Oryctolagus cuniculus: one gene and its partner. The protein of the gene in region 1 interacts with the protein of each later gene in a pairwise test. Links are inferred from orthologs where the notes say so. Each region holds a gene or a part of one and is shown on either strand. Other genes may lie near its edges.

The links.
Region 2: the proteins of COPS5 (region 1) and MAP2K2 interact in a two-hybrid assay, tested with the Homo sapiens proteins (2 studies listed by BioGRID and IntAct). The link is inferred for Oryctolagus cuniculus from reciprocal best matches to the Homo sapiens genes COPS5 and MAP2K2.

The regions. Positions count from the first base shown.
Region 1 is NC_091437.1:92,670,947-92,674,895, reverse strand, and holds part of COPS5 (COP9 signalosome complex subunit 5), read left to right. Parts: intron 1-2,225; coding exon 2,226-2,374; intron 2,375-3,949. UniProt on the Homo sapiens protein: Probable protease subunit of the COP9 signalosome complex (CSN), a complex involved in various cellular and developmental processes.
Region 2 is NC_091447.1:59,243,015-59,248,257, forward strand, and holds part of MAP2K2 (dual specificity mitogen-activated protein kinase kinase 2), read left to right. Parts: intron 1-1,194; coding exon 1,195-1,405; intron 1,406-3,647; coding exon 3,648-3,794; intron 3,795-5,243. UniProt on the Homo sapiens protein: Catalyzes the concomitant phosphorylation of a threonine and a tyrosine residue in a Thr-Glu-Tyr sequence located in MAP kinases. Activates the ERK1 and ERK2 MAP kinases.

The DNA of each region.
Region 1 (3,949 bases):
ATTAATTATTAAATGTAAGGATATTTACTTAACAACATTCTCCATATTTAGAACTTAGGAACAGCTTTTTTAAAAGTAGGCCACTCCATATACTGCAGTATACATAGTGATTAGTACCATGGGATTTGAAATAAATCAGATTTGAAAAGAATGCTGCCACTTTACTGGCTCTGAGTGATGTTTGGAAACTTATTTAATGTGAGTGAGCCTTTTCTGTATATAAAATAATAACATCATTAAGTATACTGAGAAAATTAAATGAAATACTTGATATAAAGCAATTAGCAAAGTGCCTGGCATATAATAAGCCTCAATAAATGACTATTATTATTTTTGTTTGGTGCATTGCATTCTTGAAAGAAAACCTCAATTGAGCCTGTTTTTTATAATTTTAAACACAATTCTGACAAGTTTTCTGTTCTTATTTCTTAATCCTCGGTGGTCAGAAGTATCAGATTAGAAGGAAGGAAAGCAAACATAATAGCAAACATTTATTAAGTGCCTCCTGTGTGCCAGACACTGCTAAATGCTTTATATGTGTTGTTTCCGTAGAGGCAAGTATACTAATAGCAACCAGAAGTGAGAGCTGATGCAAGGGGAGAAAACACTGTGTAAGACCAGAGCAGTCTGAACCTTTGTATAAAGGCAAGCAGATCTACCTACTCAGCCACACGGCTGTCCCTGTATTCCAGCACTGCATATATGAGGACATTAATAATCAAGAAAAGGTTAAATTACATTTTCTCCCTTTCTGTGATTTTATATACTCATATAGGACACTGCTGCATTTTAAGAAAACATGTAAATTATGTTCACTTTCTCTTTCTCCAACTAAAGCAGTTAATTATAGCATAAAACCTAAAAGCTACCAGAGAAAAATTTTTTTAAGAAATTAGTTTCCTGTATTAATTTTCTGGGCATTTGAAATGTGATTGGGTATATTTTACTGTCAGTTTACTAGTATAACCATTTCTGCTAGCTTACATTTTTATGGGCTCTGTAGCTAATCTTCTGAATGTGGAAAAGTCTGTAAACCTTAGGCTTTTCTCCAAGTCTGTGGGATAAATGTTGATTTCCTAAACCATTTAGATTCATTTAGGCAAAGTAAATATAATTGCATCATTTTAAAATCACCCTAACTTTGAACAATCATTAGGAGATCTGGTAGCATTTTAAAGGGCCTTCTGTGGTAACTTTGATGATAGCTATAACATTTTGTGTTTGATAGTTAAACTGTATTTCTTGTAAGCTGTCTTTCAAACTGAGCAACTAAAATAGCATGCTGATTTTCGCCAAATGGCTTATTTATCCTCATTCTCTTCTACAAAAGATTAAGAAAAGAAATGTAATATATGCTTTACAACTTTGTAGGTTTTCTTTATATTTTAGACTAAAACTAAAAATGGATATCTTATAACAATCTCTTTAAAGATATTACAGTAATGTAGACATATAACTTTTTTCTTTTTAAAAAGTATGTCATATTATAAAAATACAATATATAATATTCTAGTTTCCCAGATATAGAATGCATATGAGTGAGGTGAAGGGCTTATAGCTATGTCTATTTTCTTTATATTGTTCTACATTTTCCAAATTTTCTGTAATTTATTAAATTATTTTCTGTAATAATTTATTAAGCAAAACCAAAGGTTATTTTTAAAAATATTATCCTAAGTACAAATTATAAAAGAATAGTAACAAAACTAGCTAACAATTATTAAGCATTTAGTGGGTGCCATGGACCAGCCTAAGAGCTTTCACACATTATTTCATTAATTTTTCACAATAGCCTTAACATAGAAATTGCTCCCTTTTCCCATTTTCTGAAGAGGACCTGCAGGCATGTCCCAAGCCTCCCAACTAATCTGCAGCAGGTTAGGAGCTGGACTTGATATGTGTAGGCCAAGGCCTCTTGTAATAATAATCACCATTAGACCTAGAGTCGAAGAGAAAAATTCCAAATTTAATCTTGAAATTAAAAAGAGAACACATCTACATTGAACCACTTGACAAGTTGAAAAAGTTGCAAGATTTTGCACGTGTAATTTGACTTCTTACTTCAATAATCATCCACTCAGATCTTATAGGAGGATTCTTTGTAAATGAAATGTTCTTTATAGAAGAAAATTAATTTACATTAAAATATATATGTGTGTATGTATATTTTTTTTATGTTTTTAATGGTAGACTTGTGTACTAATACAATATCATCTTCTCCACAGAATGCAGACTATACCACTGGTCAGGTCTTTGATTTGTCTGAAAAGTTAGAGCAGTCAGAAGCCCAGCTGGGACGAGGAAGTTTCATGTTGGGTTTAGAAACACATGACCGAAAATCAGAGGACAAACTTGCCAAAGCCACAAGAGACAGGTAAGAATAAGAATAAGAATAAGAAAAAGATTCTTTTTACTTTCAATTCTCAAATAATAGTAGGAACCAAATTCCTTACAGTTCAAATTAGTCAGAATAATATCTGAACATTAAACTTCTTGGGACCTTTAAAAGTTGTCAAATGCAGATTTTAACTCTGAAAATTTAGGAGTCATTAGGTCAGAACATTAAAGGCTTAAATCAAAGATGTAGGCAGTGACATGGAATACTCCCAGTCATCTCTTCTAGTTCAGCTACAAAGTCAAAGAAAGAAACTAATCTTCCTTTAGGTCTTCAAATTAAAAAAAAATAAATAAAAGCAAGCCTTTGCCAAAAGAATCTCTTGGTTTATTGTCATATAAGCATCTGTAGAATTAAATTAAGAGATGTTGAAACTTAACAAATTTCAGGGTTTTTTTCATAAAGTCTTAAATCCCAAGATATCATAGGAGTGAATGTATCTCTCTTAAATTATGCTTCTGAAATTGTCCTTTATACTGTAATTTGGTACTCTAGATTTTAGTAAGGAATTTGTAGAAAACAAACTTAGGATGTTTTCTGCTGGCTTATGAAGTAACTGTGTGGCCCTCAGATACATAGACTGTACAGAGGTGAGAAGACTATCTAAATAACAGTTACTCTCACACTGAATTTGAGTTTAAATGTGATAAGGATAGAAAGGAAGGGAGAACATCTATATAAACTCATGTCTATTTTAAGACAAACTATATTGGTCCAAAGGAAAAAGCAAGGAGAAGGTAAAGAGTATCCTGGTTGTGGAAGTCATCTTGAATTAAATTCTGTCTCACCTTCTTCATGGGTTTTTAGAAAGTAGAGCTAGTGACCTGGATAAAGATTATACTTTTCTTTGGCATTTGGCCTTATTTTTAGTATTTGCTTTAGTGTAGTGTGTGTTTTTGCTCAGTTGTCTTTATGTCTGTAATTTGCAGTTTTATCTGCATTTACATTTCAACCTCTAATCAAGCAAACATTTCATTATGAGAATGTCTTCAATTATAATAAGAGAAAAGTAGAAAAGATAAAAGTAATGATGCAAAAGTAGAGAATTTTCCTTTTGGAGATGGCTTTATAAGAATTGCTTCCCTTCTGAATATTGGTGGAGTTTTATCATTGTTTCTGCCTTTTTACTTTTTTAAATTTTGTATTTATTTTGAAGTCAGAGAAACACAGATATATGGATAAAGACAGGGAGACAGATCTCCCATCCATTGGTTCACAGCAAGTGCCCACAACAGCCAAGGCTGGACCAGGCAGAAGGCAGGAGCCAAAAGAATTCAATCCAGGTCTCCCATGTAGGTGCCAGGGACTCAACTACTTGAGCCATCACTTGCTGCCCCCCAGAGTATGCATTAACAGGAAGCTGAAAAGGAGAACAGAACTGCAACTCAAACCCAGATGTGGGATGCAGGTGTCCCAAATGGCTGCTTAACTACTCCAGCAAATGTCCATCTCTGATTTTCACATTTTATCCTCTAAAATCTAAGTACTTTACTCACTTACCTAACTTTGACTTACAATTGTTTGAGTGATATTTATGATTACTAAAAATAAAAT
Region 2 (5,243 bases), on another chromosome or scaffold:
CGTCCCGGACTCCCTGACAACCCCCTGAGTGACCCCTAACCCACAGTGGCCACGGCTGGCTGCGAGGTTGCCGGGTCTGGGAGGCCAGGCGCGCGGGTTAAGGGTCCGCCTGGCGCAGGACCGGGCCCTCGGGGCGTCCACGCCCGCGTCGGAGGCCTGGATCTGCCCAGGCTCCACGGGCCCTGCTCCTGGGCCCGGTCCCCATTTCCCCCATCCACCCACGCCGTCTGGAGTCCCCCAGGGCTCTCCTAGTGCCCCCCCCACCTGCGCCCAGGGAGAGGCGTTGGGTTCTGGGGTGCGCAAGGGCACGCATGCGCCTTTCCTCGCTAGGTCACTAGGCCAGGGGACCGTCTGCGTCATCCCTCCCCGCTCCCTGGCCGGCCGCGTGCCCGTCCTGGCTGGGGTGGAGTCGGTGTGTGACGCGCGCACTTGTGTTTGAGAGGTAGACAGCAAGCAACACAGACACATACCCCACCCGCTGGCTCACTGCACCAGCCAGGAGCCAGGGACTCCATCCGGGGCTCCCGCGTGGGCGGCAGGGACCGGGGCCACCCGCTGCTTCCCGGGGTGCGCGCGCAGGGACCGGAGCCACCCACTGCCTCCCGGGTTCGCGCACGCAGGGACCGGGGCCACCCACTGCCTCCTGCGGTGCGCGCGCAGGGACAGGGCCACCCGCTGCCTCCCGGGGTGCGCGCACGCAGGGACAGAGCCACCCGCTGCCTCCCAGGTGCGCGCGCAGGGACCGGGGCCACCTGCTGCCTCCCGGGGTGCGCGCGCAGGGACCGGGGCCACCCGCTGCCTCCCGGGGTGCGCGCACGCAGGGACCGGAGCCACCCGCTGCCTCCCGGGGTGCGCGCACGCAGGGACCGGAGCCACCCGCTGCCTCCCGGGTGCGCGCGCAGGGACAGGGCCACCCGCTGCCTCCCGGGGTGCGCGCACGCAGGGACAGAGCCACCCGCTGCCTCCCGGGGCGCGCACGCAGGGACAGAGCCACCCGCTACCTCCCGGGGTGCGCGTGCAGGGACCGGAGCCACCCGCTGCCTCCCGGGGTGCGCGCACGCAGGGACAGGGCCACCCGCTGCCTCCCGGGGTGCGCGCGCAGGCACCGGAGCCAGGCCCTGCGCCCCGGCACTTGGCTGCGCGCCCGGCGTCCTGCGCGGCGGCCCCACTGACCTGGCCCCCGGCTGTCCGCAGAGCGAGCCTCGTGGACCTGCAGCAGAAGCTGGCGGAGCTGGAGCTGGACGAGCAGCAGCGGCGGCGGCTGGAGGCCTTCCTCACGCAGAAGGCCAAGGTCGGCGAGCTCAAGGACGATGACTTCGAGAGGATCTCGGAGCTGGGGGCCGGCAACGGCGGCGTGGTGACCAAGGTGCGGCACCGGCCCTCGGGCCTCATCATGGCCAGGAAGGTGAGCGGCGCTGGGGCGTGGGAGGGCACGGCGAGTATCTGGGAGGTGAGTCCCCCCCCCCCAGGGCTCCCTGGAGTGTGCGCCTGCACCAGAAGAGGGGAGGAAGCTTGGGGCCCGCCTTCTGGGTGTGCAGGCCAGGCCAGGAGGGCGCAGCTCGCGACCCCACACATTTCGGGGGGCACCGCCGTCTTTCCCCGAACACCTTCACCCGTCGGGAGAGGCCCGCCCAGCCCCGGAAGGCCGGCTGCGTCGCCGGTGTCTTGTGGGTTAAGTGTCCGTCACAGCTCCAGCCTGGCCCGGGGGTCACCGACAGCCCCCAGGCTGGGGAGCCTGCCTCCCCCAACCCGGACAGCCACCCCGGCCCCAGCTCCCGAGGCTCCGGGCAGCCAGGTGGGGGAATATCCCCCCACTCCCCGGGGTGGGGGGAGACGGGAGCAGGGACCGGCTGGGGGCCATGACTAAGCTCGTGGTGGGGACTCTGTGGTCAGACTGTGCGCCTCTCAGGCGTCTTCCTCCCACCACACACGGCTCGCTCTTCCAGGAAGCCCACCGCCCTGCGGCTGGGTGAGGTCCCGGCCTCCGGCTGTGTTTCCCGGGGATGGGAGGCCTGGATCCTCCTGGGGTCTGCAGCTTGCCACCTGCTCCCACAGCAGGACAGCCAGGACCCTCCTCCACCCTGCCCCCGAACCCCCACCCAGGGCACCTGTGGGACCCCCTAGGACGGCGCTGGTCGGAGAGCGGTGGGCACCGAGGCGTCTGGGGCCAGCGCCGCGGGAACGGGGCTCCGGGAGGCGGGGCCCAGGGGCTCCGCGTAGGGCTGCGTGGCCAGGCGAGCTCCGTGTGGCCTCCGTGGCCTCTGGCTCCTCCACCGTGTAAGGTGTCGCCTTTGAGGGTGAGGGATGGGGGGCGCAGGGGCCCCCTCTTTTCGCGTCTGTGATGGATGGATTGATTTGAACCGAGGATCCACTGGCTCGCTCCTCAAACGGCCCCGACTGCCAGGCTGGGCCCGGCCGAAGCCGGGAGCCTCACCCGGCTGCGTCCACGCGTGTGCGGGGGCCGGGCGCTCGGTGTCCTCTGCTGCTTTCCCAGGCGCCTTGGCAGGGGGCTGCATCCGACGGGTGCCCGTGCCAAGTCCGTGCCGGGACTTGTCGGCCCCCGGGGCACCTTACCAGACCTGCACAGACCGGCAGCTGGGCGCCCACCGCGTGCTGGCGTCACGCAGGTTATCCCATGCGCGTGCAGCACGACGGGCCTTGTAGAAGGCCCGAGAAGACTGACCTCTGGGTTTTAATGAATTAATGTGTTTATCTGAGAGGCAGAGCGCGTGTTGGCTCCGACCCCTGGGTCCCTCCCGGATCCCTGCGGCGGCCGGGGGCTCCATCCGGGTCTCCCACGCAGGTGCAGGGGCCCCCGCCCCTCCGCGGCCCCTCCCTGGCAGGGTCTACGCACGCGCAGGAAGCAGGGGTCAGGGCGCGCCCGCTGCCAGCGCCGTCTGCGCCCACGTGTGTTTCCCTCCCTCGTGGCAGAGAAACCCTGGCCTGGCCTCTGTGCCCCCTGCCGCAGTCACGTGACCGCAGCCACGGCCGCCTTGCCAGAGCTGGGCCTGGGGCGGCGCCGCTGGCCCGGACCTGTGTGCTCACGCATACCGGGCAGCCCTGCCCCCCGGGCCGGCTCCGGCTCCCGGGTCTGCCCAGCGCGCGCCTCACGCACACACAGTCACCCGCCCAGCCGTGGCAACCCCGGCCCGTGCCCGACTCGGCTCCCCCGCGCATGGGCGGTGGTGGGAGCCGTGGGGGGTGCGTGAGAAGCAAGAACCGGAGGCCGCGCCTGTGTCAGGGGGCGTGGGGGTGCCGCCCGGGGTCCTGTCGGGCGCTGCCAGCCCCTTGCTGTCCCGGGCCCGGCCGCCGCCCTCCGCCCCACCTTGGCGTCCCCCGAAACGCCCACCCCGCTGCAGCCCCGGCGTCACCCCTCACTGCCGGCACCCGTGGCTCTCTGTCCCTTCCCCCGGCCGTCCTCCCCTCCCCCCACCTTGTCTCCACCGGGCAGGGCCTGCCTCTCTCCCAGCGGCTGCCGGTCCCCATGGGGCGTTCTGGGTCACATCGGGTCCCTGTGGCCACCCCAGCCCCAGCTCGGCCGCGGGCTCCTGGCGCCCCCTGGGCTTGGCCTGCGGGCGTGCACTTGGCCGTGACCGCGGGGCTCTGTCCTGAGACAGCCGTGCTGGGCGCCGCCCTGTCGCCCACAGCTGATCCACCTGGAGATCAAGCCGGCCATCCGGAACCAGATCATCCGCGAGCTGCAGGTGCTGCACCAGTGCAACTCCCCGTACATCGTGGGCTTCTACGGCGCCTTCTACAGCGACGGCGAGATCAGCATCTGCATGCAGCACATGGTGAGGGCGGGGCCGGGGCCGCGCGGAGGCGGAGCTACAGGGCGCAGGACGCAGCTGGGGCCCGCCCCGAGGAGGCGGAGCTACAGGGCACAGGACGCAGCTGGGGCCCTCCCCGAGGAGGCGGAGCTACAGGGGACAGGACGCAGCTGGGGCCCTCCCCGAGGAGGCGGAGCTACAGGGCACAGGACGCAGCTGGGGCCCTCCCCGAGGAGGCGGAGCTACAGGGGACAGGACGCAGCTGGGGCCCTCCCCGAGGAGGCGGAGCTACAGGGCACAGGACGCAGCTGGGGCCCTCCCCGATGGCCACCCACCACGGCCAGGGCTGGGCCAGGCTGGAGCCAGGAGCCCCACGTGCGCCCCCACGCTGCCTCCCAGGGCGCATGCGCGGGGGCTGGGGCAGACGCACGCAGCCAGAGTTTGAACCGAGGCCCAGGGAGGGGTGCGGGCGTCCCGGGGGGTCGGGCGCTCTGCCAGGTGCCCGCGCCCACTCTGCTCGCCATCAGCAGCCGGGGCCCCGTCTCTGCGTGGTGGGCTGCACGGCCTTTGCGCCCATTCGCGGCAGCGCCTGGTCCTGCCGCGCGCCCCCTCGGGGTCAGGTCCCACGGGACCTGGTTGCTGTTGGCCTGCGGGCCTCTAAAGGGGGGGCTTTTTACGGTTAAGACTCACTGGTTTGAAGGGCACATGACAGAGAGGGAGAGAGACAGAACCTCCCTCTGGTTCACCCCTCGGACGGCCACAATGGCCGGGCACGGCCAGGGGCTCCGTCGGGTCTCCCGCGTGGGTGGCAGGGTTGGGCCGCCTTCCCAGGGGCCTTAGCAGGGAGCTGGGTCCGAGGCGGGGCAGCCAGGACCCCAGCCAGCGCTCACAGGGGACGTGGGGCTTTGTAAAAGGCAGGCCTCCTGCCCGCCCCCGGCCCAGACCTGCGGGGTTCCGCGCAGGGCGGGGCCCGGGCCGCGCCTCTCTGTGACCCCCACCCCCCACCCCACGCTGAGACCAGCGAAAGCAGAAGTGGTCAGGGCTGCGGGCCCAGAGGAAGCGCCCGGGCCCCGTGAGCGCCGGGCGTCAGGTGGGGGCTGCAGGCCCCTTGCAAAACCCGGGCGCGGCGGCTGCGGGAGCGTCTCGCGAGCGCGCCGTCCCCCGGGACACGGGTGTCGTAACGCGGGCAGGAAGTGGATTTGAGCAAGATCCCGCCCTCACCGGGAGGGGGCATCGCGCTGGTCCCAGCTGCCCCACAAGGTCAGCGCGGGCGGCACCCCCTCCTCGGGAGTGAGCCAGTGCGCCCCCGGCACCCCGTCTGTCGGAGGGGCCGGGGCGGCCTGAGTGTGTGCCCCGGCATTGCGGGCGGTGACCGCATGGACGGGAAGACGCCCCGGTGTCAGCCCCTAGGGAAGGACTCGGTAGACGGATGGTGCAGGCTGGGCTGCTGGGGCCGGCGCTGGGGGCCCGCGG